4 linked regions of the Anolis sagrei genome follow. Each later gene encodes a partner of the first gene's protein in a complex. Links are inferred from orthologs where the notes say so. Each region holds a gene or a part of one and is shown on either strand. Other genes may lie near its edges. The genes, in order: CDHR5, ankyrin repeat and SAM domain-containing protein 4B, USH1C and CDHR2.

The links.
Region 2: CDHR5 (region 1) and ankyrin repeat and SAM domain-containing protein 4B share a complex: the UniProt entries of both Homo sapiens proteins name them as parts of the IMAC/intermicrovillar adhesion complex. The link is inferred for Anolis sagrei from reciprocal best matches to the Homo sapiens genes CDHR5 and ANKS4B.
Region 3: CDHR5 (region 1) and USH1C share a complex: the UniProt entries of both Homo sapiens proteins name them as parts of the IMAC/intermicrovillar adhesion complex. The link is inferred for Anolis sagrei from reciprocal best matches to the Homo sapiens genes CDHR5 and USH1C.
Region 4: CDHR5 (region 1) and CDHR2 share a complex: the UniProt entries of both Homo sapiens proteins name them as parts of the IMAC/intermicrovillar adhesion complex. The link is inferred for Anolis sagrei from reciprocal best matches to the Homo sapiens genes CDHR5 and CDHR2.

Annotation. Positions count from the first base shown.
Region 1 is NC_090021.1:240,588,387-240,596,320, reverse strand, and holds the start of CDHR5 (cadherin-related family member 5), read left to right. Parts: upstream 1-4,929; coding exon 4,930-5,008; intron 5,009-6,373; coding exon 6,374-6,555; intron 6,556-7,934. UniProt on the Homo sapiens protein: Intermicrovillar adhesion molecule that forms, via its extracellular domain, calcium-dependent heterophilic complexes with CDHR2 on adjacent microvilli. Thereby, controls the packing of microvilli at the apical membrane of epithelial cells.
Region 2 is NC_090034.1:16,409,647-16,417,436, reverse strand, and holds the start of ankyrin repeat and SAM domain-containing protein 4B, read left to right. Parts: upstream 1-4,700; 5' UTR 4,701-4,741; coding exon 4,742-4,905; intron 4,906-7,790. UniProt on the Homo sapiens protein: As part of the intermicrovillar adhesion complex/IMAC plays a role in epithelial brush border differentiation, controlling microvilli organization and length. Plays a role in assembly of the complex.
Region 3 is NC_090021.1:247,950,181-247,958,113, forward strand, and holds the start of USH1C (harmonin), read left to right. Parts: upstream 1-4,811; 5' UTR 4,812-4,949; coding exon 4,950-4,985; intron 4,986-7,933. UniProt on the Homo sapiens protein: Anchoring/scaffolding protein that is a part of the functional network formed by USH1C, USH1G, CDH23 and MYO7A that mediates mechanotransduction in cochlear hair cells. Required for normal development and maintenance of cochlear hair cell bundles.
Region 4 is NC_090022.1:78,164,506-78,171,653, reverse strand, and holds the start of CDHR2 (cadherin-related family member 2), read left to right. Parts: upstream 1-4,010; 5' UTR 4,011-4,228; intron 4,229-6,534; 5' UTR 6,535-6,889; coding exon 6,890-6,909; intron 6,910-7,148. UniProt on the Homo sapiens protein: Intermicrovillar adhesion molecule that forms, via its extracellular domain, calcium-dependent heterophilic complexes with CDHR5 on adjacent microvilli. Thereby, controls the packing of microvilli at the apical membrane of epithelial cells.

The sequences.
Region 1 (7,934 bases):
GAGGCCAGATTGCCAGAGTTCCCTCCTTTCAGGACACTTCTGCCTCTTTTCAATTAAGAAGAGCTATGCATGATGGCCAGAAATAGTTTAACACATGTGATGAGTTCTGTACCTCTCCATGTTTGAAAAGAGGCTGAAGTGTCCTACGAGGGGGAAATTTCTCAATGTGATAAGGAGTAGACTACAAGCTAAACATGAGTCAACAGTATGATGTGGCAGCTAAAAAAACCCTATATAATTCTAAACTGCATCAATAGGAACATAGTGCCTATGTCAAATGAAATAATAGAACTACTCTATTCTGCTTTGGTCAGATCTCACCTGGAATATTGTGTTTAGTTCTGGGCACTATAGTTCAAGAAGGATATTAACAAGCTGAAATGTGACTCGGGCAACTAAAATGCTCAAAAATTTGGAAACCAAGCCCTATGAGGAGCAGCTTAAGGAGCTGGGTATGTTTCGCTTTGGAGAAAAGAAATCTGGGAGGAGACATGATAGTGCCATGTTTAAATATGTGAAAGGATGTCACATTGAGGAGAGGACAAACTAGTTTTCTGTTGCTCTGGAGACTAGGACACAGAGCAATGTGCTCAAATTGCAGGGAAAGAGATTCCAGCTAAACATTAGGAAGAACTCTCTGATGATAAGAAGAACTGTTCAGCAATGGAATATGTCATCCCAGGTCTGGTGGAGTCCCCTTTTATGAGGTTTTTAAGCAGAGGCTAGCTGGCCATCTGTTTGGAGTGCTTTGATTGTGGGTTCCTGTATGGCAGGGGGCTGGATTGCATGACCCTTGTGGCCTCTTCAAATTGTATGATTTTATTATACCATCTGACATTTACATAGGGATTAGATCAATCCTACAGAGATGTCCCAGATGAGGGTCATTTGAGACTTTCAAGGTGGTCTGGACTTGGATTTTGTGGAAAATATTAGACCTATATAGAGACATGGACGCACTGCAAGCAACCACCCACTAGAGGGCTTCAATAGTCTAATTTTAGGCACAGCCACTTGCATTTTCATTAGTTCATCACTGCAGTATCAATCAAGTAGTGACTTGGGTCCAAACTTCACAGTGTATCTCACTTCACAGAGTGCTGGAAAGCAGGAAATGCAAATAAAGCCTTCCTTTATCTTTCAAAACTTGTTTTCACCCAGCTGCTTTCTCTCACTCACAGAAAAATGTGATGAATAATTTTTCCCTGCAGGTGAGAAAGTAGTTTGGGGTCTGGGATTTTGAGCCATCTTGTATACAAATAGTTAATAATTTTGACTAAACAACAACAACAACGGATTAAGCATTCAAACCACTACACTGAACTGGATGAATGCAAATACTCCATAACAGTATCAGTCTATCATAACTTGGTTTGCACCCTTCCAAATCTTGGGCACCTTCCAGATGCATTGGACTCAAGTGCCTATTATCCAGTTGAGCAGGCCAGTAACCATGAGGCCAGTAACCATGCTGGCTGAGAGTGACGGGGACTGCAGTCAAACCACATCTGGGGGATGTCAGGTTGGGAAGGTTACAGTTGACTGCCAATGTGGGTTACATTAAGAAACATTCAACATGTGCTCCAAAACTTTAAGATGTTGGCACAGTATGAAAGTAACAGGCGTAGGCTATAACAGGGGTTGCCACAAGTTAAAGTGCAACTACAAAATACTGAGAGCATTTATCTCAGGAAAAACATTTGCTATGAGGAATGTGGAATCTCCAAGGGAAGGGGATTTTCTGCCACAGTGAGAGATCAAAGCAGCAATCCAAATGACCTTTATATACTATTCTGAGAGCCTTTCTGGAGAAGCTTTTTCTTTCCCCCACAAACACCTCATTCCATAATTTCAAAGCATTTTGTAGTTATTTAATTTTGCAATTTAGACACAGATTTAGATTTCCATCCAAGAAAATTTATTTTTTAAAATAAAACGAAACTACAGAAAAGCAGAATCACATCCACATCATAACTAAAGAAATTAAGAAACCCAGTGATTTTTTTCATGGCTACACACTGTCTAATGCAGGGGTCCTCAAACTCTAAGATCATTTACCCGGCCCTTGCTCAGAGTCAGCCTAAGTCTGAAACGACTCGAAAGCACATAACAACAACAACAACAGCAATTCCTATCTCATCAGCCAAAAGTGGGTCCACACTTCCCATTGAAATACTAATAATTTTATATTTGTTAAAATTGTTCTTCATTTTAATTACTGTATTGTTTTAAGTGTTTTTTGCACTACAAATAAGATATGTGCAGTGTGCGTAGGAATTCATTCATTTTTTTAAAAAATTATAATCCGGCCCTCCAACAGTTTGAGGGACTGTGACCTGGCCCTCTGTTTAAAAAGTTTGAGGACCCCTGGTCTAATGACTGATGGTATATATAATATTTTATAATTGAGTCGCCTGAGGGCTGAGAAGGGGGGGTATACAAATATAGTAAATAAATACATACATATAAAAGACATTCATTATAACTTCTGCATCAGAATTTTGAAAAACCAATCCTGAACTTTTGAAGTGGAAAAAAATGCCAAAACCTTTATCTCCAAGAGTTTTGTCTTTTTGCTGGAAATTATTTGCACTAACTTTACAGGTGAATGTGGTGAAACCACTCAGTTCATGCCCAGATTTTTATTCATTGTTATTAATAATTCTTAAATCCCAGGGCTCAGCTGGGGACTTAAAACCTTCCCAAATTTCTTTTTTTTAAAAAAATTGAAATATATCATCCAATTTTTACATATCCTCTTTTTCATATACACAAGAATGTTTATTGTTTCCATATTATCCAGTTCATTGTGTAAAATATAATGTAATAGACTAAAATTTTAAACATTACTTCCAGGAAATGTTTTGAAGGGTTCCCAGACTTTCTTGAACATTGAAGGATCCTTTATTTGAAGCTATTTTGTCAAAATGTTGATTTCCACTATTTCAGCTACTTTTACTATCCATTCTTTCATTTTTGGAGTTTCTTCTAGGTTTCCACTTCCAAAGACATACAATTCTTGCTGCAGTTGTCATCAGAATGAAAAGTTTGTCATACGTCTTCAAAGTAATCAATCTATTATGCCTGTTATCCCTAGGGTATAGGGTTACAGCCTGTGCTGGATGGGGTCGCACTCCCCTTGAAGGCGCAGGTTCGCAGCTTGGGTGTGATCCTGGATTCATCGCTGAGCCTGGAGCCCCAGGTCTCGGTGGTGACCAGGGGAGCATTCGCACAGCTTAGGCTTGTGCGCCAGCTGCGCCCGTATCTTGGGAAGTCTGACTTGGCCACGGTAGTCCACGCTCTGGTTACATCCCGCTTAGACTACTGCAACGCTCTCTACGTGGGGTTGCCTTTGAAGACGGCCCGGAAGCTCCAACTGGTCCAACGTGCGGCAGCCATGACACTAACAGGAGCGGGATGTAGGGAGCATACAACCCCCCTGCTGTACCAGCTCCACTGGCTGCCGATCTGCTACCGAGCTCAATTCAAGGTGCTGGCATTGGCCTATAAAGCCCTAAATGGTTCCGGCCCAAAATACCTAACTGACCGCCTCTCGGCCTATGAGCCCTCGAAGACTTTGAGATCTTCCGGGGAGGCCCTGCTCTCGATTCCACCTGCCTCACAGGCACGGCTGGTGGGGACGAGAGATAGGGCCTTCTCGGTGGCGGCTCCTCGGCTGTGGAACACCCTTCCCGTGGACATCAGGCTAGCCCCCTCCCTGCTAATATTCCGCAGGAAGCTAAAGACCTGGCTATTTAAGAAGGCATTTGATCAATAGTGCAATGACTGGCAATTGACCATAGGAATGGAACACCGGAAATGAGATCGGATTGTGGCTTGACGATGAGACGATTCGGAATGTAGTAATAATTTTGTTAAGATGTTTTTATGATTATGATGAATTGTACACTGTTTTGCACTATGCTCTGTAGATTGCACTTGTTTTTGTCATGTTGTACACCGCAATGAGTCGCCCTTGGGGGCTGAGAATTGCGGTATATAAGCGCAGTAAATAAATAAATAAATAATAGTAAGTAGGGTTGTGCTTTCAGGGTAAATCTTGACTCGTTTCGTGTCCTGGCTTTCAGTGGCGGCCCCGATCAGTTTTTGGGAGCTTCCCGAAATCAGGAGGGCAGATATTTGTTTTCGCTCGGGGTGCTGAAAGATCTGTTTTCTATCAGCCCATTATTGGGGGGGGGGCTTCCCAGGCTCCCCCTCCTGTCATTTTAGACATTACTCTAGAGGAAAGGTGCTCAGCTGCATGCAGGTGCATACCTTAAGGAAACTTCTTACCTGTTTCTACACTAGAAGAGAGGCACTCAGTTCCAAGCAGGCACGGGCGCTTTCTGGCCATAATTTTGGCCCCCAAACTTGCCTTTGACTTACATGTGAGGTATGTGTATATATGGTAAGTCTCCCTGAATGCAGTGGACTAAGTAGACATTTGAAGTGGTGATAGTTTCAAGATATTTTTCTGCCCAAGTCAGAACTGCAAATGGTATCTCTCACTTACCAAAGCCAAAATGCATCCTGCCCAACCAAGGCAAACCACACACCGCATAACCATATCTTTTTGTTTCAGCAAAACACAATGAACCTCTATCACCCTTCCATGATACCCAAAATACGTAGCCCAAGGCAGCTACTCACTCTGGGCAGGGACTGCCTCTGCAATGTAAGAACAACCCAGTCTCCAAGGTAAGACAAAGTACTTTCCACTGAGCCAGTCACTGATGAGTGATGGTAAATAAGTCATAAATAAGTGAGTCAATAAACCAAGATGCAAAGGTTAAACTCCTCTGTTAGCAAAGTACTATTTGCAGCATTACGGTACTTCCTGATGGAAGAGTGAAAGGACGATTCATGATGATAATAAATGAAGACCGCTTTTCTTAGATTTTGGATTCCTCCCCTCCCTCCACCAGTGTGATGGCTCTTTTCATTCAGCTCTGCACCTGTATGGTCTTTGTCTTGGTATCTGTACTTCATGTCCAAGGACAGAGCGCATGTAAGTATGCCTGGGAGACAGGAGCAAATACTGACTCAGGGTTAATTGTTAAAAACAACACAAGAGGGATAGTTGTTTGGATACACCCATAGAGGAACAAAAGGCATAGATATTTTCAATATATGGATTGCCTAAATAGCCTAAAAGCACCAAATCCTGTCTGATCTTGGAAGTTAAACAGGACCTGGTTAGTCTTTGGATGGGAGACTATCAAAACTACCAGGTGAATTAGGTTAGCGTATATTTTGAAGGAAGGAATTGGCAAACCACCTCTAAGTATTTTTCGCCTAAGAAAACCCTATGAAGTTCATGGTGTTGTAATAAATTGACCAGAAAACTGAATGGACACCTAAATATACTTTAAATACGTAGCACTAGCTTATAGATGCTTATTTCAAATTAAACTCCCACAGAGTTTCGTGGAGTTTTCTCTTCTATAAGCATGAACAGAAGCGCAGCAAGAACACTAAAATACATTGTATATTTCAAGAAGAGATCTTGCCTGGGGAAGAATCAGTATTATGTTTCCAATATGCTAGCAAAGTTTTTTTTGTCAGAACAATGAACTTTTGACAATATGTAAAGAGATTCAAGCCAACAGAAATAATAATATTAACACAGGTACTAGTACTAATTTAAAAAATGCTCTACTTTATAATATTATCTAATTCAGGCAATTAATTCTAAATTAACAATATGAATGGGAATAATTTTACATAGTGTCTGGAATAGGGAATTCAATATCTAAATTTAATATGGGATTAGATGTACCTCAAATTACAAAGGTGTATACTTGATAAAGGCACAGGAAAAGATTTTGAATGATGAAAGGCCAAACATTGGCATGTCCCCAGTCTAGATATCAGATAAAATATTATTATTTGGATGTATCTCTTGCATATCTGCTTATTGCCATGTTATATGAAATGTCCTATAAAGCATTTGTACGTTGTTGTTGTTGCTACTGCTGTTGTGTGCTTCCAAATTGTTTCTAACTTATGGTGATCCTTTAATGAGGTTTTCTGGGGCTGAAGGTGGGTTTCAGAAGCTGCACAGGGAACTGAACCTGGTCTCCAGAGCCTCCAGCGCTCAAACTGCAATAACAGAAGGTACCTTGTGGGCCATCCAGTCCAACCCCTTGCCAAGAAACAGGAAAATTGCATTCAAACCACCCCCAACAGATGGCCCTGAGAATGCCACACTGGTTCTCACTTGTTGCCAATAAAATATTAAATTAAAGTATAAAACTCTAGTTTTAAATTAAAGTATAAAATTCTAAGTCAGTCGATACTGGCAGATATGAATGATTCTGTTGAGTTAGACTGCACTTCCAGAGACATGAAATCTTTCCTTTTGTTTCACTAGACTGTTCTGTGGAGAATGCCAGTCCTAGTATTGAGGAGAACAATGCTCCTGGAGTCGTGGTCACCAACATTACGACAGCTGCTGGTGTCACTGTAACAATTGCCCCGGCATCAGACACAAACCCTGAGTGGTTTGACATAAAAGACTCACAACTTATCCTGAAATATTCAGTGGATTATGAGGTAAATGACAGAGTGGGGATTAATGGCACAGTAAGATGTGGTTAGCTGTTTATCGAGAAAAGCCATTGCTTATGTTCCTATGAATATAAAGACAGTATGAAGTGGATCGATACAGTCCAGCCAAAGTCTAAATACACCTAAAAGCTTAGTGTTATCAGAGTGAAAAATGGAAACAGTTTCTGCTCCTATAAGGATTGTGGAGAAGAGGGAATTTGAGCAGGTATTGCTTGTCATGCAACTTGGTAACTTACTTACTTAGGCAATCCCTCGTTGTCTGGGATCGATGGACTGGCGGTGGGTCCATAGGTGACTGTGGAGCCCTATTCTTTATCTGCGTGTTCTCCCGCAGCGAGGGCATTGGTTTCCAGGTGGAAAGCGGTCCTGGTTGTGGTTGGCTTGATGTGCCTTCCTCTTGGCACGTTTCTCTCTTTCACCCTCCATTGGTGCCTCTTTAAATTCTACAGCACTGCTGCTCACAGCTGACCTCCAGCTGGAGCACTAAACGGCCAGGGCTTCCCAGTTCTCAGTGTCTATGCCAGAGTGTTTAAGGTTGGCCTTGAGCCCATCTTTAAATCTCTTTTCCTGTCCACAAACATTCCGTTTTCCGTTCTTGAGTTCAGAGTAGAGCAACTGCTTTGAGAGATGGTGGCCGGGCATCCAGACAACGTGGCCGGTCCAGTGGAGTTGATGACAGAGGACCATCGCTTCAATGCTGGTGGCCTTTGCTTCTTCCAGCACGCTGACATTTGTCCACTTGTCTTCCCAAGAGATTTGCAGAATTTTTTTTGGAGGCAACGCTGATGGAATCATTCTAGGAGTTGCATGTGATGTCTGTAGATAGTCAAAGTCTTGCAGGCATATAGCAGGGTTGGGAGGATAATAGCTTTATAAACAAGCACCTTGGTATCCCTACAGATGTCCCAGTCTTCAAACACTCTGTGCTTCATTCGGAAAAATGCTGCACTCGCAGAGCTCAGGCGGTGTTGCATTTCACTGTCAATGTTGACTTTTGTGGAGAGGTGGCTGCCAAGGTAGCGGAAATGGTCAACATTTTCTAATGTTACACTATTAAGCTGAATTTCTGGCATTGAAGAGGGATTATCTGGTGACTGCGGGAAGAGTACTTTGGTTTTCTCGATGCTCAATGACAGGCTGAGGTTCTTGTATGCTTCTGTGAAGGTGTTTAGAATGGCTTGTAGGTCTTCTTCTGAATGTGCACAGATGACATTGTCATCAGCATATTCTATAACAGATGTTGTTGTTGTTGTAACCTTGCTTTGTAACCTGGTAACTGACTGAAATTTCCTCTTCGACTCAGCAAATGGTGACATCTCATTTTTTAAAATCTAGTAACCCTAGTTCTTGCGTATTGATAATAT
Region 2 (7,790 bases), on another chromosome or scaffold:
TGGACTTAATGTCAGGGGAATTAACACTGCCATATTATCCAGTTCAAAACAGATAATCTGGAATCAGAAACTAGATTATATGGCAGTGTAGATGGGACCTCAAAGGCACACATACAGTAGAGCTCACTGTTCCCGTAAAGCAAAAGTTAAGACAGCAGGACAAAAGTCTACATATGGGCTAGGCAGGCCCGTAGCCAGGATTTTGTTTCGGGGGGGGGGGGCTGAGTTTGGTTTGGGGGGGCTGAGTTTGGTTCGGGGGGGCTGAGTCTGAGTGAAAGAGGGTCTACCCTAGCAAACCTTTTGTATCATCCCAATACCCGCATGCATATGGGATATATTGAGCATGGTGATCAGATCATGATATGAATAAACATAACAGTTTAAATAATGTACCAGTAAGGCCTTCCCGCGGACCACCATGAGAATTTCGGGGGGGGGGGGGCTGAAGCTCCCCAAGCCCCCCCCCCCCTGGCTACATGCCTGGGGCTAGGCAATAAACAGGCACATTTGGGTGCAGAGAACTCTCTTCTTCGAAGGCTTTCATGACTGGAATCACTGGGTTGTTGTAGGTTTTTTCGGGCTATATGGCCATGGTCTAGAGGCATTCTCTCCTGATGTTTCGTCTGCATCTATGGCAAGCATCCTCAGAGGTAGTGAGGTCTGTTGGAAGTAGGAAAAGGGATTTATATATCTGTGGAATGACCAGGGTGAGACAAAGGACTCCTGTCTGCTGGAGCTAGGTGTGAATGTTTCAACTGACCACCTAGATACGGGCTAGAATACCTCTAGACCATGGCCATATAGCCCGAAAAAACCTACAACAACTCAGTTTGGACAGCGATATTTTCAGAAAACGTAATTGTCTAGGCAACCGCAATCCGGACCTGCCAGCCAGTGAGTCATCATTTGGATGATCCAAAGCACTCATTAGCCAAACATCCTCAAATCTCTCCATTAAAAAAAAGGTTTGGCTACAAATCTAGAGGGGCAAATCAGTGAAACACAGTGTGATTTGCGTCTGCAGAAACCAATTTATGTATTGAGTTGTCAGGCCTGGAGCCAACAAAATTCAGAAAGATCAAGTGCCATTTCAAACCTTTGTCCATTTATCCTAATGAATCGCCTTTTTCGCCTTCCCTTTTGAGAATGGAGTGATTCGCACCTTGGAACATCTTTTCAGGGAAGACAAGAGAGAAAGGAAGGATGCATTCTAGGCAAGCCGCCCTGCTTCTGGTTCAACGCTTTCGAAAGAAGGGACAAAAAGGCTCCCATTCAAGCAGCATTCCTCTCCCTCTGCTTGATCAGAAGGGCTAATAAAATACTGAAAGGGGATCTGGGGTGAGCTTTTCTCAACCAATTGACAGAAACAACCATTAAACTAATTAAGCTTTTCCCTTCCTCCTTGTATTTGCTTTTTTGAATTTGTTCCTTCTGTTAGTGACTCTGTCAATTGAGTGGTGACACAGGATACAGACCAAAAAAAATCCTTTTTTTATTTTCATGGCTCAAAATGATATCCTTAGTTTAGTGTGATTTGAGCCTCAGGCTTTAATTTCGGGAGATCTTGTGCCTTCCCAAACATTATGTAAAATGTCTCAGACAGTCATTTAAGTCAGGGCATTTGAGGTTTTCGTGTCTAATTAAACAATCCAATTAGTCTCTGAATAATTTTATATTTAGCTGTGAAACAAGTAAACAGGTTGAATGACTTGGTTTGAAGAGCAGAGCCAGGATGCTTGCTTCTTAATTACAGCTCCCAGAAACCCCCAGCTAGCAAGACCAATGTTCAGCAGTGGAACTCTCTGCCCCGGAATGTGGTGGAGGCTCCTTCTTTGGAAGCTTTTGAACAGAGGCTGTGTGGCCATCTGTCGGGGGTGCTTTGAATGCAGTTTTCCTGCTTCTTGGCCAAATGGGGTTGGATTGGATGGCCAATGAGGTCTCTTCCAACTCTATGATTCTATGATTCATGCAGACTGGGAAAATGGGTTTTCCAGATTTGCCAAAAAGGGAACGAGAGGCGTTGAACTGATGATGCATACTTTGTCAAATATGACATAGACCAGTGGTTCACAACCTGTGGGTCCCCAGATGGGATTTCTGCGAGTTGTAAGCCAAAATACCTGGAGACCCAAAGGTTGAGAATCAGTGCCATAGATCATCATGATGATTTATTCATCATGTCAGAAGCGAATTGAGAATACAGTTATAATGAATAAAAAACCAGAAGCTGGCCATGTCAAGTGGCTGTGCTGTGCTGTAAGAAGGTCCTTATTGTGCATGTGGCAGGACACAGGTTGCATTGTAGTATGTGATCTGTGGTTTGCTCTTCTCCACACTCGCATGTCATGGACTCCACTTTGTAACCCCATTTCTGAAGGTTGGCTCTACATCTCATGGCCCGCGAGCACAGTCTGTTCAGCACCTTCCATGTTGCCCAGTCTTCTGTGTGCTCAGGAGGGAGTCTCGCATTTAGTATCAGCCACAGATTGCGGTTCTGGGTTTTTAGCCTGCCACTTTTGGACTCTTGCTTGCTGAGGTGTGCTTGCGAGCATCTCTGGAGATCTTAGAAAATAATTTCTTGATTTAAGGTGTTGGCTTGCTGGCTGATATCCAAACAAAGGATGGGCCAGAGATGTCAATGCCTTGGTCTTTTCATTACAGACTGCTACTTCCTGACAGATATCAGGTGGTGCAATACTGGCTAAACAGTATAATTTTTCCAGTGGTGTAGGGCTTAGACATCCTGTGATAATGTGGCATGTCTCATTAAGAGCCACATCCACTTCTTTTAACATGGTGATATGTATTACACACTTGGTATGCGTATTCTGCAGCAGAGTAGCAAAGCGCAAGGGCAGATGTCTTCAATGTTTATGGTTGTGATCCCCAGGTTGTGCCAGTCAGCTTCCGTATGACATTATTTCTAGCACCCACTTTTTGTTTGATAGTGAAGCAGTGCTTTTTGTAAGTATGTGACTTGCAGTATAATGATGATGATGGTGGTGGTGGTGGTGGTGGTGGTGGTGGTGAAGAACTTATTACTCGCCTCTCCTTGAAGTTTGAAGCGTAATACTACATGATTCATACAGAGGGATTAAACACAAAACTATTAAAATGTCTGTCTATTTTCCTGTCTGTCTGTCTGTCTGTCTGTCTATCTATCTATCTATGTATGTATGTATATGTGCGTTTGTATGTATCTTTCAAGATGGTCCCCACTTCCAGAGACCATTACAACTCCCACCAACTACGAATCTGGACCGAACTTGGCAAACCCACCCATCCCGCAATGACCAAAATAAAATACTGGAGGCTGGGGAGGTTGGGGGCTGGGGAGGAGATGTACCCTGGACGATGGGGATTGCAGTTCACCCTGAAGGAACTTCCAGAGAGCACCGTGAACCCCATCTATGATAGATCTGGACCAAACATATCCATCATGACCAACTTTAAATATTGACAGGGTTTAGTGGGTGGCAATAGCAAAGAATGATGGGAGTTATAGTTCACACACAATCAAAGAGCATTCAGATCATAACCCATGATGGACTTGGATTAAATGTGACACACATACCCATCATGACCAGCTTTAAGTACTATCAGGGTTTGGGGAGCAATGACAGAGGATTTGGGGAGTTATAGTTCACCCATATGTGAAGAGCACTGTGAACCCCACTGATGATGAACGTGGACTAAGCTTGGCATATGTACCCATCCTGACCAATTTAAAATGCTGGTGCGGTTTGGGGGGTATTGACCTAGCATGATGGGAAATGTAGTTAACCCATATCTTTTGCATTTTCCTATGGGTGAGATAGTAGAGATGACTATAAACAAACTATATTATTTATGCATACTGAATACATGAACAAATAAAAGCGAGTTGAAGGTTTTTAAGCAGAGTCTGAATGGCTCTGTTGGGGGTGCTTTGATTGTGCTTTTCCTCCCTGGCAGATAAGGGCTGGACTGGATGGCCCTTGGGATCTCTTCCAACTCTATGAGTTGATTTATTTATTTGTTGTGTCAGGGCAACCAGTCAATTGTATTACATTTCTAACAGAACAAAACAAACAAACAGACAGACAAAATACAAAATTTGCGAGTTTGGTAGTTGATTAAATGTCCTTTGACCAGTATCTGGCCACTTGGAGTGCCTCTGGTGTTGCCGCAAGAAGGTCCTCCATTGTGCATGTGGCAGGGCTCAGGGTTCATTGCAGTAGGTGGTCAGTGGTTTGCTCTTCTCCACACTCGCATGTCGTGGATTCCACTTTGTGGCCCCATTTCTGAAGGTTGGCTCTGCATCTCGTGGTGCCAGAGCGCAGTCTGTTCAGCGCCTTGCAAGTCGCCCAGTTTTCTGTGTGCCCAGGGGGAGTCTCTCATTTGGTATCAGCCATTGGTTGAGGTTCTGGGTTTGAGCCTGCCACTTTTGGACTCTTGCTTGCTGAGGTGTTCCAGCGAGTGTCTCTGTAGATCTTAGAAAACAATTTCTAGATTTAAGTCATTGACGTGCTGGCTGATATGAGTCGATGACATAGTAGCATACATTAAAGCTGAGACAATATATTGCTTTCCTGCAGAGCGTAAGCCATAGCTGGGAGTGACCTTTGCTTCTTCGTTTGTGTTTTGTTGGAGCTGATGACTTCGTCAGGGATTATTAATTAACCATCCCTCTGATGAGAAGCAGTGTAGTGTGTGTCGCATTGCACAGTGTGAAAGGAATCAGCCTGGAAAGGGGAACACAATGTCCACCCGGTACCACCATGCAGCTGCCGATGGCAACCTGGAATTGCTGAAGGAAGCCACCAGAAAAGATCTGAACACTTCCGATATGGATGGGATGACTCCAACTCTGCTGGTGGCCTATCATGGCAATCTGGACGCTCTGGAAATCATTTGCCGAAGAGGGTAAGTACCGTCAGCCTATGGACAGATCACAACATATTGTGACTGCAAATGTAGGGTGTCCTTAGCTTATAATTTAGGGAGAATAAATTTGATATACCCTCAAAAATGTATAGCCCCTTAAAACAATTAAAGATTTCATTAGTAGAGAAGTGTCACAAAATTGCAGTAGGTACTTGAAATGATTAGTGTGTGTATTGTCCAAGGCTTTCATGGCTGGAATCACTGGATTGTTGTAGGTTTTTGGGCTATATGGCTATGTTCTAGAAGCATTCTCTCCTGACGTTTCGCCTGCATATATGGCAAGCATCCTCAGATTAGTGCATGATTGTACACCAGACATGGGCAAACTTTGGCCCTCCAGGTGTTTTGGGTTTCAACTCCCACAATTCTGGACAGTCTCGGGCCCTTTCCTTTTCTTTTTCCCTTTCCTTTTCTGCTTAAGTGGCTGAGGGGGGAAAGGAAGGGGGCTGAGGCTGTTAGGAATTATGGGAGATGAAGTCCATAACACCTGGAAGGACCAAGTTTGCCCATGCCTGGTGTACAATCATGCACTAATCTGAGGATGCTTGCCTTAGATGCAGGCGAAACGTCAGGAGAGAATGCTTCTAGAACATGGCCATATAGCCTGAAAAACCTACATTTCTGATGCCAATCAATCTGTGTCAAAGTTGATCCAGGAAAGAGAGCCAAGGGCAGTCCACACCCAAAACATGGCTGGAAGAAGGAAATAGACAACATATTGCTTTGTACTTAATAGGAGTTCTGTGTAGCTTTGATGATGATGTTGATGATGATATATTGAATTTCTTACCCATTTCTCAAGGTTTGAGGTGATTGATAACAATAATAACCATAATAATAATAATAATAATAATAATCAAAGTATGGATTGTCAATGTTGCAGTCCCAGGTGACAGCAGGATTGAAGATAAACAACTGGAAAAGCTGACATGATACAAGGATTTAAAGATGGAACTGCAAAGACTCTGGCAAAGCCAGTCAAGGTGGTCCCAGTGGTGATTGGCACACTGGGTACAGTGCCTAAAGACCTTGGCCTGCACTTAAACACAATTGGCGCTGACAAAATTACCATCTGCCAGCTGCAGAAGGCCACCTTACTGGGATCTGCGCGCATTATTCGCCAATACATCACACAGTCCTAGACACTTGGGAAGTGTTAGACGTGTGATCCAATACAACAGCTAGCAGGGTGTCTGCTGTGGACTCATCTTGTTGTGTTTCTAATAATAATAATAATAATAATAATAATAATAATAATAATACACTTTATTTATATCCTGCCTTTTTCTACATACTGAACAGCAACATACAACACAAAGATAAAGGGCTTCCCATTTTTCTATCTCTGGTGTCTGGAGGCAATGCTCAACTCCAGCCATGGGAAGGTGCTATTGTACCATTTTTCCATGCCAAGGAGCCTGTTGTCCATGGACATCTCCGATTGTGTTACTGGCATATCTGCAATGTGAATGAGGCACCATTTTACCTTCCCGCCGAGGCGGTACCAATTGATTACTCGCATTACATGCTTTTGAACTGCTAGGTTGGCAGGAGCTAGGGCTGACAGTTGAGAGCTCACCCTGACTCACAGCTTTGAACTACCAACTTTCCAGTCGACAGCTTTCCTGCAGCTAACGGTTCAACCTGCTGTGCTACTGTGGCCTCATAAAAACAGAAAACCATTAAAAACACATATATTAAAAGATGTAGACATAAGAGTAAGACGGATTAAAACTCATTCAATAACATGCCAGTTTAAAACGAAAGCGTCTAGATTAGAACTTGGGACTCAGAAAACCATTCCTTTTAGATCAGCCATTTACAGACGTATGATACTAATTGACATAAAACATACACAAGCTAATTTGTATGTATAGAGAACTTTAAAAATAATTAGAATAATTCAGATAGAGTGTGCCCAAGTCTCAGGTCCTCCTCTTTACTTCTCAGATGGGAAGAATCTCAGGGCAAGAGCACAGCCTTGAAAAAATGTGTATGTCTGCATGTGTATTTTCTCACTCTCTATTTTTTTCCTGTGGTATTTTATCCATTTCCGATATAATATCTCTTAAAATAAGACTCCACTATAGGACACGTGAAGGGCCGTGGTGGTGCAACGGGTTGAACCACTAAGCTGCCAAACTTGCCAAAAGTTCAAATCTGTGGGACAGGGTGAGCTCCTGTTGCTAGCCCCAGCTTCTGCCAACCTAGCAGTTCGAAAACATGCAAATATGAGTAGATCAATAGGTTCTGCTTTGTCGTGAAGGTAACAGCACTCCCATGCAATTATGTTGGAGGTGTCTATGGACAAAGCTGGCTCTTTGGCTGAGAAATGGAGATGAGCACCACCTCCCTGAGTCAGACTCAACTAGACTTAATGTCAAAGGAAACCTTTACTCTAGTACATGTGGCTATACAATACTAATAATCTAATAATATCCACTGGGGTTTAGTTCCAGAACTCCCCATGGAAACCAAAATCCATAAATACCAAAGTCCTATTATATACAATCGCATAATAAAATAGTGTCCTTGAGATAAAATGGCAAAATCAAACTTTGCTTCTTGAATTTTTAAAAATATATATTTTCAAACCCAGAGTGGCAATATCCCTGGATGCTAATCCATACGTACAAAGGGCTGACTGAATGTAAATAAATAAAATTAAATGTCCTGCTTTCACAATAAAATTTCTAGTTTTAATCACTTTTCATTTGTTATTTTCTATCACTGGCCTTTGGGCAATACTAAAAGTAATATGGTGAAAACCATTTGGACTTCAGGTAAACATAAAATAAATATATTGCTTTGTTTCTAGCTTTTAGGTGTGGCATGCGGTTTTATATGCCATCATTTACAGCCAA
Region 3 (7,933 bases), about 7.4 Mb from region 1:
ATTTATCTCCTTTCCTTCTTTTCTGCCCCTCACTCTCACTCCCTGACCCCCTGTCTCTTTCACTTCATCTTTCAGCTATCTTGTAACAGAAGCTTTAAAAGCTGCCAATGGCAGGTGAGAAATAGTGTCAGATTAAAAGAGTCTTTTTTCAAACTGCTTTAGGAAGTCTGTTAACAGTAAGTAATTAAAAAGATCTCATTCCCCTCTTTGTAATTAGTGCCCATGTATTGTATTTCTAGCCATAACAAGTAATTCACTTCAGTAAGATGGTGAAACAGCAATGACGTCCTCATCAAGAATGCTCTTCTGCTGTAAATACTAATGGGAAAATCAAAATTAGAAGAGAGAGTAAATTCTCATGCCCTCCCCCCCCCCCCCCCCGACATTGATGTAGCCCCCTAAAAGGTCAAACATATTATATTGCATTTGCATTGTAAGAGAAACTTGGAAGTTACAGATTGGCATTCCTTTTCCCGGTAAAGCTTGATTATCTAAATCTCATTTGGCTGAAATCTATGAAAGTTTATGCCATGAATCACATTTATTAGTCTTTTTGGTACTACAGAACTCAGCATAATAGATTAACCTTGCTAGCTCCCTGGAAATATTTCCTCTGTGAATCACCTAAGCTTTGATTCAGTCTGAATGCAGACTAAAGGCAGCAGCCAAAATATCAGGAGTAGCTCATTAGGAGATAGCATGAAAGAACTACATTTTTTTAAATAACATGTCCCATCAGGTAGAAATTATTTTCCTGATTTCCAGGTATTACCTGCAAAGGAAAAAGAGCAGCAGCCAAAAGAACAGGAGTGGCTAACTAATAGTGGATAATCTGAGGAAGATACCTCAAACATCAGCAGAAATATTTCCAGAGGGGTGTTCCATGATGTTTTAAACTTGTTTTTCCAGTGAGAGAGTGTGTCGGTGATGATAAAATTGTGTTCTGCACATTTAGTGAGAAGTAAAGTGTCATTTGGGTTACTGCTCCAACCCTGGCTTTCCATATAGTTCCTGGCCACAGGCCGAAATCTCGCCCAACTCTTGTGTATAAATCACCCAGGAGGATGATTTTCTTCTCCTTAGGTATGTCTCATAGGATGATATCCCGCCGACAGCGGAATTGTTCTTTGATGTCTTTGCTGGCATCTGGTTTTGGTGGATAGACATATATGATAGTTGCCTGCTGGTTTTTGGCAAGACTGATTTGGAGATATTGCAATGGAGACTCAAACTGTACTCAGAATCATAGTGCCACTGGTCATGGCTGTAATATATCGATTGTGACCTTTGTTAGCCTTATTCTCCATGAATATCTCTAATCCTCTTTTAAAGTGCTCTATATTGTTGGATTTCCCTATGTCTTCTGGTCTATATCTTTATATGAGTGATGCAACCTCAATTGATGGGCGTGAAGCTAGTAATGTAGTGCACTGGTGGGTGGGTTGGTGGTTTCTCAAAGGATGTTGAATAACAATCTGACAGGCCAGTTCTAGAAAGATTGCTGCCAGTTGAAGTATAAACTGTATTAGTTGTTAATATTCGTATGGAAAATGGGTTATTTTCTTCTCCTTAGGTATGTCTCATAGGATGATATCCCGCTGACAGCAGAATTGTTCTTTGATGTCTTTGCTGGCATCTGGTTTTGGTGCATAGACATATATGATAGTTGCCTGCTGGTTTTTGGCAAGACTGATTTGGAGATACTGCAATGGAGACTCAAACTGTACTCAGAATCATATGTGCTATGTAATAGATAATTCTTGCTTAATATTCATGAGGATAATATTCTATTGTACGATTTGTTTTATCGTTCTTTAGTTGTATAGAGGAATATATTTGATTATAATATTCGTGAGGAAAATAAGTTTATGAATTCTTATTTATATGTTTTATGTATTTTAGGGTATTTTACTTGTTTAATATTTGTGGGGGAAATAGTTGAATGAATGATATACATATGTATATTATGAATATAATCGGGGTTTTTAAAAAAGCTTTTATCTGTCCTGAATTTCTCCCACTTCAACTTCACTGTTATCTCTGGTCCTAATCTTTTGTGGTGGTTGTTTTATAATTTCTATGTGATATTGCTTTATAGTTTTATTTCTCGTGTCAGGGCAGCCAGTCAATTATATTACATTTCTAACAGAACAAAGCAAACAAATAGAGAAAATACAAAATGTGTGAGTTTGGTAGTTGATTAAATGTCCTTTGACCAGTATCTGGCCACTTGGAGTGCTTCTGGTGTTGTTGCAAGGAGGTCCTCCATTGTGCATGTGGCAGGGCTCAGGTTGCATTGCAGCAGGTGGTCTGTGGTTTGCTCCTCTCCGCACTCGCATGTCGAGGATTCCACTTTGTAGCCCCATTTCTGAAGGTTGGCTCTGCATCTCCTGGTGCCAGAGCGCAGTCTGTTCAGCGCCTTCCAAGTCGCCCAGTCCTCTGTGTACCCAGGGGGGAATCTCTCATTTGGTATCAGCCGTTGGTTGAGGTTCTAGGTTTGAGCCTGCCACTTTTGGACTCTCGCTTGCTGAGGCGTTCCAGCGAGTGTCTTATAGTCATATACCATTTATGTTATATGCTGCACCTTGGAGTACCTTTGTAAGCCACTCCGAGTCCCCTTGGGGAAACTGTGGCAGGTTATAAAGAAAGATTATTATTATTATTAATAATAATAATATCTTAAACTGAGTTCAGAAGCAAATAGACAGCCAGTGCAATGAAGGTGATATATTTTATAGTCTTCACATGACAATGAATTGTGAACTTCCATCATCATCATCATCATCATCATCATCATCATCATCATCATTCAAAAATACTTCTAACTTGGGACTAGGCAATTTAAAGGAAGGGTAAAACAAACTAAAACCATAAAAACAATTAAATAAGGTACCATATCAAAACATCACTAACTTTAAAAAGTATAGAATCATTTTAAATGATATAAAAATTAAGAAAACAATGCAGAAAGATACAGCAAATGGAGTTATCACAATTAGATCCTGAAGTGGGTTTTTGTTGTTGTTGTTTTCACCAGATCTGTATCTTTCACCTGGACAAATTAATTTTTAAAAATACAATTATGCAATTAAAAATAATGATAATAATAAAGAATACACATATACCCCCCAAAGGCTTTTTTTTTTACAATCTATGAAATGGTTACTGCAATCATTGGTTTCCCCTTTCTTGAAAATTGTAAATCATTTTGATTATTTCCAGTATGTGGGCTCTGTTGATATGCTACCTGTTCCTGATGATTTATTTCTCCCAAGTACTCTTACTGCAGCTTCCACTTAATTTTCTAATCATTTTTTCTTGAATGAACCTGCTATCCTTTCATCTCTTTTATATAGTTCTTCAGTGTATTGTTTCCATTTTCTTTTTAGGTATACTTGGTCATGTAAAGTGTCATATAGCATCCCCACTCTTGGTTTAAACATAGTCATCCATGAATGGATTTTTAAAAAAATACTTCAATGGGAAAAAGGCACAAGTAAAATTATGCAAAATAAACGTATATTTTTAATAATTACAGTATATTTTTAATAATTACAGTGGACCCCCAGTGGCACAGTGGGTTAAACCCCTGTGCCGGCAGGACTGAAGACCAACAGGTCACAGGTTTGAATCCGGGGAGAGCGTAGATGAGCTCCCTCTGTCAGCTCCATCTCCTCATATGGGGACATGAGAGAAGCCTCCCATAAGGATGGTAACACATCAAAACATCCGGGCGTCCCCTGGGCAACGTCCTTGCAGATGGCCAATTCTCTCACACCAGAAGCAACTTGCAGTTTCTCAAGTCACTCCTGACACGACCAAAAATAATAATAATTACAGGGCACACAATCCAGTAGATACTTAATGTAAATGCAGATTGTTATATTTGAGTTTTTAATCATGTGGAAGTTTTATCAAGGATGATAAAACATCCAGGAGTCCCCTGGGCAACGTCCTTGCAGACAGCCAATTCTCTCACACCAGACTTGCAGCCTCTTCAGTCGCTCCTGACACACACACACACACGCACACAAAGCTTGCCTGATGATGAGAAGTGGTCCCTTAAACATGAGACAATCCAACATTTATTTCAAATTAAACATTATTAAAAATTTAATATAACAATCCGGCATATACATTAAGTATCCACTGGATTATGTGCACTGTAATTACTAAAAATATACATTTATTTCGCAAAGTTTAATTGTACCTTTTTTCCACTGATGTATTTAAAAAAATCATTCATTGATAGCCATATATTCAATGATAGCCTTATAGTTTTGGGACTGCTCTCCTGGTAACCAATATTTTAGACCCAGTGCACCACTGCTCCCATCAGGCCGGTAGCCAGGATTTTGATTCGGGGGGGGGGGGGGGGGGGCTGAGTCTGAGTGAAAGAGGGTCTAGCCTAGCAAACCTTTTGTTTCGTTACCCCAATACCTCCATGCATATGGGATATATTGAGCATGGTGATCAGATCATGATATGAATAAACATAACAGTTTAAATAATGCACCAGTAAGGCCTTCTCACGGACCACCATGAGAATTTCGGGGGGGGGGGGCTGAAGCCTGGCTCCCATGTGTGTATTTGTCTGTGTACCAGCATCTACAACAGGCATGGGCAAATTTAGGCCCTCCTGGTGTTTTGGACTTCAATTCCCACAATTCCTCACAGCCTTGAGCCCTTTCTTGGACCACCGGGGACTCCTATCACAGGGAAGGTGACACCTGGCCAGCCCGCCCTGCAAGGAACCCAACCTCTTGCCTTGCCTCCCCTTTCCTTGCCTTCCTCCCTGCGCTGCGCCCTCTGGCGGTGACTCCGAGCTCTGCGCGCCCGACCTGAGCCGAGAAAGGAAGGAAGGAAGGAAGGGAAGGAAGGCAGGCGCGCAGGCTGGCCAAGGCGAAGAGCTCAGAGGCAGTCGCTCTCGCTCTCCCCCATTCATTGCCATGGAGCGCAAGGTGGCCAGGGAGTTCAGGCACAAGGTAAGAAAGAAGAGGGCCGCCCTCGCCTTTCCCCGCTTGCTTGCTTCTTGCCTGCCAAGGGACCCCCGCGGCTTTGGCTCCTCAGCTTGGAGTCACTTTCTCTAGCTCTGGGTCGGCTGCGCGGGGGACATTTTGCGGGACTCTGGACTCTGGGTATCAATTAACTCGGCCTTTGCGGGGGGGAGGGGGAGGGGGGAGGGGGGAGGGGGCAGGGAAGGAAGCGCTTCTCCCCGGCAGGTCAGGCGGCGAGGCGCACCTCCGAGGGAGGCATTGGCCTCACTCTTGCCACCCACCCATCCACCCATCTTTTCTTTTCTTTTTTCCCCCGGGCAGGTGGGAATTCGGGTCCACTTTCTCTTAAAGGGCACCTGGATTCCACCTGAGCGCCAAGCAGAGAAAAGGAAGAAGCAAACTTCAAAGTTTTGGAACTTTTGGGAAAGTTTGCTCCCTCAAAAATAATGTTCCCTGTGAGCAATTGTATACAAAAAAGAAAATTTAATAACAATAACAACAATAATAATGAGGATTTAAAGATTGAACTGCAAAGACTCTGGCACAAACCGATAAAGGTGGTCCCAGTGGTGATCGGCACACTAGGTGCAGTGCCTAAAGACCTCGGCCTGCACTTAAACACAATTGACACTGGCAAAATTACCATCTGCTACCCTACTGGGATCTGCACACATTATTCGCCGATACATCACACAGTCCTAGACACTTGGGAAGTGTCTGACATGTGATCCAATACAGCAGCCCACAGAATGATTTTGTTTGCTGTGGACTCATCTTGTGTTTCAAATAATAATAATAATTCATTTATAGCCCGCTTTCTCTCCCCCAGGGGACTCAAAAACCAAAATAAACACTATCCCTCCTTTCCTCTTTCTCTCTCTCTCTCTGTCAGGGACCAAGGGACGTTGCAAAGAAGCTTCTATTATATAATAGTTCTTTTGTTTTTGTTTTTAAAAGAAGTGAATCTAAGAGTTGCAAGTCAACAGGGTGAGATGAGGAAGTTTGGACTCAAGGGTATGATACAGGCATATTCTTGCAACATGGTTTGAACCTATTTCTTTTTATCAGTGCCGCAAAGTCAAATGGAAACTGTCTTTCAGAGGTTCAGTCAGTGGTGCATTAATAATGGGTTTCATTTACAAAAAGCTCCCTTTTCGGTTTCACATCAGAGATAAAAGTTGTTGAGTGTGGAAGGCTGTTCCAGCTTGTTTGAATATGCAAAACCGATCAACATTTGTCTGCACACCTCCTACAGGTTTTCCAGGCTTGTATACCTTATAAAAAATGATCTAATACCTGTTGTTGTTGTTGTTGTTGTTGTTGTTGTGTAACAGGTCCTTCCTGGATTATGGTGCCCCCAAGACTAACCTATGGGAGGGGGGGGTTCCTTTGAAATATTTGTTCAGAGAGGGCTTGTTTTTGCCTGCCTCTGAGGCTGAGAGAGAGTGACTTCCTCAAAGTCACCCAATGTGGTCACCCAGATGTTTTAACATCCTGTGGGAGGCTTCTCTCATGTTCCCGCATGAGAAGCTGGAGCTCACAGACAGGAGCTCAACCCACTCCCTGGATTCGAACCGCTGACCTTTAGGTCAGCAGTCCTGCCAGCTGGAGGTGTAACCCATTACGCCTCCGGGGGCTCGATTTGCTCCTGACATTAAAAAAACCCAGTGTGGTTTCCATAGGTGACTCAGAATTTGAACTCTGATCTCCAGGGTTGTAGTCCAATGCTCAAACCATTCCACCATGCTGAGTCTTCAGATATTTGTGCCTCATTCTTCATATAATGTATGAAGACCATCCATATAACCCCATTGTTGCTGTTATACAATGTTTATTTGATCATTTACAAAAATTAATCAACAGAATTTTATCCTGAAGGTGTGTTTAGATTACTTTGGTTTTGGTAAACTGGATTTTGGTGTCTCCTCTTCTTTGGAATCTTGATCTTTATTTCCCCCATTTAATTGCGTTCAGTGGAGTTCCATTCTGGTTTTTAGATTGGACCTCTCTAACACAACAGATAAAAGTTACACTAATCTTTAAGTCTTCTATAACTTAGACTGAAACTTATCAAATATTAAAGACAAATTTCTGAAAATTCCTTGAAAGGGAAAAGCTGTTGTAAAAATAGATATTAAGACTATTAAGCTAGTTTTCACCAATTTTAAAACTAATATTGCTATGAATGCAATTTTTCTGCTTCTTGGCAGCAGGTTGGACTGGATGGCCAACGAGGTCTCTTCCAATGCTATGATTCTAATAAAAACTGGGCATAGTTGTATGATTATAACATTTATACCTGTTAACTATCAACATTGGGATGGGCAACAGCAGACAGACAGCTGGCATATGTATCTAACGTAATATTTATGGTCTTGTACCTTGTACCTGTGGCCTTTTATGCTGATAAGATTCACATAGACTTCTATTCTCCCCACAGTCCCAATAAATGGAAAAAGCTGGCTCTTCAAAGGGAAAAAAAACTATTCAAAATCTTGCTTTATTGGCTTCTTGATGCTAGGAAGCTACTAGGACTAAATTAATATTAAACAGCACTGAAGATAAGCCATTTTGTATCTCACTTTAAGAGAAAGTTGGGGTACAATTTTTATAAACAAATAAATAAAAGCTGTAGCATCAGTAAAGTAACACATTAAATAGTGATTGAATCTGCATGATTAGTCCTCTGTTTTCATTAAAATCTCAAAGTGAAAAAACTCAAGACAACTCAAACTGAGTTGTATCACCTGCAAATACATTTCTAAGTAATTAGACAGCCTGGTATCTCAGACAAAACAGAATTAAAACTAGGTCATTTGTTGCCCAAAGTAACTAGAAACATCAGTCAATGGAGCTAGCAATGCCTTAAATTAGCCTGGGTCAGATATATAGTTTTGATGGGTCTACATGAAACAAGCCTGGCAGCGTAGGTTTAG
Region 4 (7,148 bases), on another chromosome or scaffold:
CTGTGGGTTTCAGCCTGACCGTTAAAGGAGCTATCCATTGTGCTGAAATCTTTCCCCAGAAACAGTTTCAATTATGTTAGATGGCTTCTACAGTTTAGACTCAAACCCAAAATAATGTCAACACCCCACTGACATGCACTGCGCTGTGCTCTTTGAAGTACAAGGACAGCTCTTGTCCAAGCAGTAGTCATACATGTACCTTCCTTAGGATGTAACAAAAATGTTGTTGCACATTTCTGTTTAGGTAGTTGGAATTCCACTAGGTGATTTTGGGTAAGTCATACTCTTCCTGCCTGAGAGGACTAGATAAATATTGCCAAGACAAACCCTAGGAGAAGGTCACCACAGATCAGGGTTGGCATGAAGGCATATAAGAAGAAGTAAAGATTCTAGCTAACCCAAGCAGGAAATAGAAAAACAAGCATTCTTTATCTGTCATTTTGGAGAATATGGTTACCTTATATCAAAGTAGTCAACAAGAACTCATTCATATTCTATTTGCTTCTTCTTTCTTTTATAGTTTTATTTTCCTCTCTCTCATTTTTTCTGTTTCTCCTCTTCACAATCATTTTTAAAAATCAAATTAAAAATTAAACTCAAATAGAAACCATATCATGTGTTATTTCCAAATAAATAGTCTTAGGGTGTAACCTAAATGGAAAAAAAATCTTAATATAATTGCATGCATTGGGTTTTCCCTCCTATTTCACTCTGAGGCCAAAGGTTCTGACTTTTACATAACATTGACATTTCCCAACGGCTTTCTTCCTTGTCAGCCTGCATACCAGTTGGAATAATCAATGATGACCCATTTGCTCTAAAGTTAATATGTGCATTGTTGCTGTTGGCATTTCAATGTCACAGAACACTCTCTAGGGGAAAACATTGGCTTGGTTACAGTCATCATAGAGCTTGGAAAAGTTTCTTTTTGGGGCTATAGATCCCGGAATGCCACATATTCACAATCAGTGTGACCAGCTGTAGTTGGGAGGGGGGGGGGGGGGATGTTACCTTTTTAAAGCTCTGATCCATCCTGTTTATGTAGAATTGTTTTCTTGTTGTTTTGCTGACACTTTCTACAGCAGCAGGAGTGACGGCAAATTTATGCAAATCTTTAATTCATTTAAGGGTACATCTCCACTATAGAATTAATGCAATTTGACCTCACTTTAACTGCCATGGTTCAGCGCTATGGAATTATGGGAGTTGTAGTTTTAGAAGTTCTTTAGCTTGCCCTGCCAGAGCGTGTAGGTGGCTCACCAAACTATGGATTCCAGGATTCCAAGATATTGAACCATGGTAGTGAAAGAAGTGTTCGACTGTATTAATTCTACAATGTAGATCCAGCCTTAATCACAGGAATGATAAGTGTGAAGATGTTGCAGCATGAGAATTCAGTAGTAAGCTCTTTGAGAACCTGGTAGTCAACCAACCATAGATGTGAGGAGCACCCCTCTGAACCTACATACATACAAAACAATTGCAGAATACTGGAGAGAAATAACAGCATTAACATACATAAAAGCATATGTTATATCTTGGTTATGCACACATGCAGGTGACTCAAATGTGTCACAAACTTATTATACTCAGGTGGCTCCAAAGTAGCACCTGCTGCACAGAAGAGAGAGACAAAAAAGGGAAAGAGGAACATTTCTCCAATTCTTTGGGTACGTATATTTTAATAAATAAATGAAACTTGAGGAAATTGCTACTGGTAACTGTGGGATCTTCATGTATGGATAAAGCTGGCCCTATCATTAGGCAGAGTGAAAGGGCAACCCGAGGCAGCAAATTTTGGATGTCATAAAAGGTCAGCAAATTGTTAGCAAATTAAATTGCCATTAGTCTGTTTTACTGCCAATGTGATGAGAGTTTGTGTGATCTTCTGTCTCATATGTCATAATAACATGGTTTGCTTGGGGTAATATACGCCTTGCATGGCTGTAGGAACCATGATGTTTTGAACCGTCAAACCATTTTTAATTGAATTCTTATAATTGTTTTAATTGTGTTAATTGTAACTGTGATTTTTAATATATTGTTTTTGGCATCTAATGGCTGCCTGTTGTAAACTGTCCTGAGTCCCTCTTTGGAGGTGAGAAGTACGGGATATAAATGCTTGAAATAAATAAATAAATAAATAAATAAATAAATATATTTGCTCCAGGTAGCAAAATGTTGGCCATGGTACACAGTGGTTATAAGAATAGAAGTGAATAGTTATTCACAGGGGCCAATAAAGTGGTATACTGCATTTTAAATGTGGAAGACATAGTACACAGAACCTTAAGTATCTCACTTACGCCTAACAGAGCTTGGTAAATTTACTTTTTGGACTCTAATGTTCAGAATCCTCTAGTCACCATGATTCCTGTTAGTTGATGCAATGAGTTGTTAGGTAAAGCAATCTCATTTACAATCATATTTCCTAGTAACGTAACCAAAGGTGAGAACATTATAGCCCTCTGGACATATTTGAACTGCAACTTTGAGATGCATTCGCCAGCATAGCTACTTGTGACCCATGCTAGCAGTTGCAAACCTGCCCAGCCATATGGTTTCTACCTCTGTTGTAAACCAGCCTTGTTTAATGTTTCAAGGGACTATGGTGCCTTCATAACTGATATGTCTTGCCATCTTTCTTTTCTAGCAAGGAAGGGATGGAATCACAGCCAACCCTGTAGTTTTAGGGAAAAGCAAACTGTTGCAGCTTTTCCTAGGTTGTATGCTCTTCTGTTATGTGATGTCAGCATCTGCAAGAACCACAGCTTCAGAGTCCAGAGTGTCTAGCTTCCCAGAAGGCTGAATGAGACATAGATGGGATGAAGGCAAGATCAAAGATTTATTCTCAATGGCCAGAGAGGTTGTCAGCAGAGAAAACACTGACATCCCATAATTGCGAACACAGAGCACATGTATTTCATTTGACAACTATTTAAGATACCTGTACAAACTCCTATTTGGCTCAAAAACTGTCCAACTAGGATACACTTCATAATTAGTCTGGGATTCCCTTAGACGTCATTGCTGGTTCATCTTCATTGTGTTGGGAAACTCAAATTGTCACTGGATTATTTTGAAGAGTCTGTCCATTTATTGATTTACCTCTGAGATAGGAGTGATTGGAAAAAAAGCCATTTTGCAGTCAATAATGCCTTAGCTCTGATAGGTACAATAGAATTAGTCTAAGGTAAACAATGGGTGCTTTAGGTTGATGAACATCTCAGTGGGTGTCACAAGGGTGAGTCTGGCTGGGGGCATGGGAGAGGAACCATTCCCAGTAATAGCCCAGATTGTATCAGGAAACAGGAAAAGGATCCAGTAGCTGTGATGCAAACCCATTGTGAGTCCCACCCCCAAAACCTTCCAGTTTACTGTAAAAGGATTATGGTAATTTGGGGCATTGTTTACTGGAGTCTGTGGTGTGGTGAAGCAACTTTCCAAAGAAATGTATGAAGGGCTATTGCAGGGCGAAATGGAAAAGATAAAGTGGGCATGCTGTATATCTCCATGGTACTGAGCCTCATAATTAATATTTTTTTTGGGAGGGGGGGGGATCTGATTATTTTGATAACACTTGCTTGTTAATAACTTTTGCTTTCTTGACTACACCCTTATGTTGCTTTGTCTTGCATGTCCTATTTTTCATATGTGAATTTTGGAAAATATATAATAACATTTAGGATAATCTGGAATGAACTCTAAACATCAACAAAGGCAGCAAGAAGAATATTTGCCATGCGATCACTGCAAAATGTCTCTCTTGAATCCTAGCATACTTCCTCCATTGGTAGGGATGCTCCTGCCTTGTTATTGCTGGTCACAGTGAGAGGAGTGACAATACATTTTCTGGCCCAAACAACACATCATTGAGCTGGCACAACCTCTCTCCCTTTCTCTGGCCTAACTCATCTTCTGCCTCAGTGGAGACAGCACAATCCTCATTTGTTACTGTAAGTAGGTCATTGGGGAGGCTGCAGCCACTTTCCTTCCCCCAAACACACACATACATACACACATACTGAGATCCTGTCTGATGAATCCTTTTACTTGTCAATTACTTCAGTGCAAAGTCAAAGGCACAAACCGGCAGCGCAAGCAAAAGGCCTCATCCGCCCTTCCAGGCTACAGGCAGCCCTCCCTGGCCTCACCAGATTTTCCCCCAAAACAAGGCCTGGGCATGAAAGGGACCATGAGGCAGGAGAATCAAACGCAGGAACCTGGGGTAAGATAGCTTTTCCTCCTGCCGGTCTCATGGTAAAGCTGTCATCTTGGCAACCAGAAATTCAAGAGATGCAATGTTTATGTGGAAGTACAACCAAGTAGAAAGGGCTCTCTTATGAATATCTGCATGCCAAGCAGTGGTGGAAAGGCACATAGAAGCAAACCAGTTGACAAACCAAGATAGTGTCAACATATGGAATAACTCCTACCTTTGTTCAGAAATGTTACAGGATGTGAATGAGGGTTTAAAGTAGGGTGGGGGAAGGTGCTGCTTTCCAGATATTTGGACCATAGCTTTGGAAAGGTTAGACAGAAAATACATTTCAATAATATCTGAAGGGCTACCTGATTTCCACCCCTGTTTTAAATGGCTACCTTGGGCTTTTACTCACATTCCTTGGCTGGGAGATCTGGGATACAAAGTGGCAGGTTGAGGAGAGAGCAATAAGAGGGATACAAAGGCAGCTCAGGGGGGAAAGCATACCCTCCAATATTTCACAGATAAAAACCAGAACACATCTTGCCAAGCAACATCAGAGTGTGGTCAAGATGCAAAATGTATCAGTTAGTAAAGCACACAAGATAGGAAGATGCTGCAGCACTTTTCCTTTGCCTGAACCTGCTGGGAAGGGTGAAATTACACCTTTCTGCCCGAGTCAGTTAATTACTATCTTTGTACTTTGAACTCAGTTTACCTCAACTGAAGAAAGCTGAGGACAAAGGAAAGAAGTGGGAGAAGGAGAGCGGGACTGGCATGCTTTAAGAACAGCTGAAAGGATGACAGAGGATTAATCAGGGGTCTGTTTTCCAAATTGAAATAGTTGCAGGATACAGAAAAGGAATCTCTGCAGAAAGTCCTGCCTAAATTGGTGTTTCCATTGAAGGGGCACTTTATGATCCTCTATAGTTGATTGCATGTGGTTGAAATGGTATGTAGGGTGAAATAATTCACATTGGGTGCATCTACACTTTCAAATGCAGTTTGACACTACTTTTAACTGCCATGGCTCATGGGAATCATGCAAAAGGCAAGGTTTTTGGCCTTTTCTGCCAAATAGTTCTGATGCCTCACCAATTGCAGCGCACCCAAATACCTGGGAGTCACTCTGGACCATGCTCTGACCTATAAGAAGCACTGCCTGAACGTCAAGCAAAAAGTGGGTGCTAGAAACAATATCATACGAAAGCTGACTGGCACAACCTGGGGATCACAACCAAACACAGTGAAGACATCCACCCTTGTGCTATGCTACTCTGCTGCTGAGTATGCATGCCCAGTGTGGAACACATCTCACCACACTAAAATATTGGATGTGGCTCTTAATGAGACATGCCGCATTATCACGGAGTGTCTGAACCCTACACCACTGGAGAAATTACACTGCTTAGCCAGTATTGCACCACTTGACATCCACCGGGAAGTAGCAGCCAATAGTGAAAGGACCAAGGCAGAGACATCTCCAGCTCATCCCTTGTTTGGGAATCAGCCAGCATGTCAACGACTTAAATCAAGAAATAGTTTTCTAAGATCTACAGAGACACTCGCTGAAACACCCCAGCAAGTGAGAGCCCAAAAGTGGCAGGCTCAAACCCAGAGCCTCAATCAATGGCTGATACCCAATAAGAGACTCCCTCCTGGGCACACAGAAGACTGGGCGACTTGGAAGGCGCTGAACAGATTGCACTCTGGCACCACGAGATGCAGAGCCAACCTTAAGAAATGGGGCTACAAAAGTGGAATCCTCGACATGTGAATGTGGAAAGGAGCAAACCACTGACCACCTGCTGCAATGCAACCTGAGCCCTGCTACATGCACAGTGGAGGACCTTCTTGCGGCAACACCAGAAGCACTCCAAATGGCCAGATACTGGTCAAAGGACATTTAATCAACACCAAGCTTGTCTTTTGTATGTTTGTTTGTTTGTTCTGTCAAAAATTTAATACAACTGTTTGGTTGCCTGACACGATAAATAAATACCAAACTATAGTTCCCATGCTTCCATAGCATTGAGCCATCACAGTTAAAGTGTTGTAAAACTGCATTATTTTGACAGTGTAGATGTACCTCTCTTCTCCATAGTCCACAACCCATGTAGATCCTCTTAAGTTTAGTAACCTGGCACAGCAATCTGTCATGTTTATTGCACTACCAATCCCGTAATTCCCAGCCAGTGCAGCTGGCTAAGGATAGCACCTCTAACCATGATCCTAATTGCTTTCAGTAGATCTGTCCATATTTCTCTTAAATTGAGACAGAATGTTACCAAAGCAACCAATATAACTATTGATTCATGTTTGTCACATAGGCTGGGTTGGCTACAGGTCCACAATCTGACAACTGGACTGCTGTTTAAGATGAGAGATAGAGCTGAGAAGGACCTGAGATGTGAAAAGCCATTGGGAATGGAGGCTGAATGGTGCCAGCGGTTTGGAGATTCCCTTCCAGGACACCTGCAAAGACCTGTTTTGGAACTGACACCTGCCCAAGCAACCTCAGGCAGGAAAAAGAAAAAGAGGAAGAGTCCTGTTCAAGGAGGTTGGGCCAAAGTCCTCACCCTCTAATTTCAGTTAATAATTGATCAGCTTATTCAAGACAGGAGCCAAAGTCTGAAGGAAGTATTCAGACCTCCAGTGTCTATCACAGACTCAAGTGGCATTTCCATGATCCCGTACGAGATGAGGTAAGGGGTAAACTCAGCTGTCTCTATCCATGTTGTGCTGTGATGACCAAGGGAGGGAAGGAGGGAGAGAGGGAGGGAGGGAATGAACCATGGGATTTATTTATTTATGTATTTATTTTGTATCAAAAGCATTCCACAAATTAGTATAAAACTAATAAAAATAGAAGGAACGCAGGCAGCTAAATATCTTTTGACCAAAAACGGGCAACAGCAATGACATTGTCTGTAGCCTCCAACAA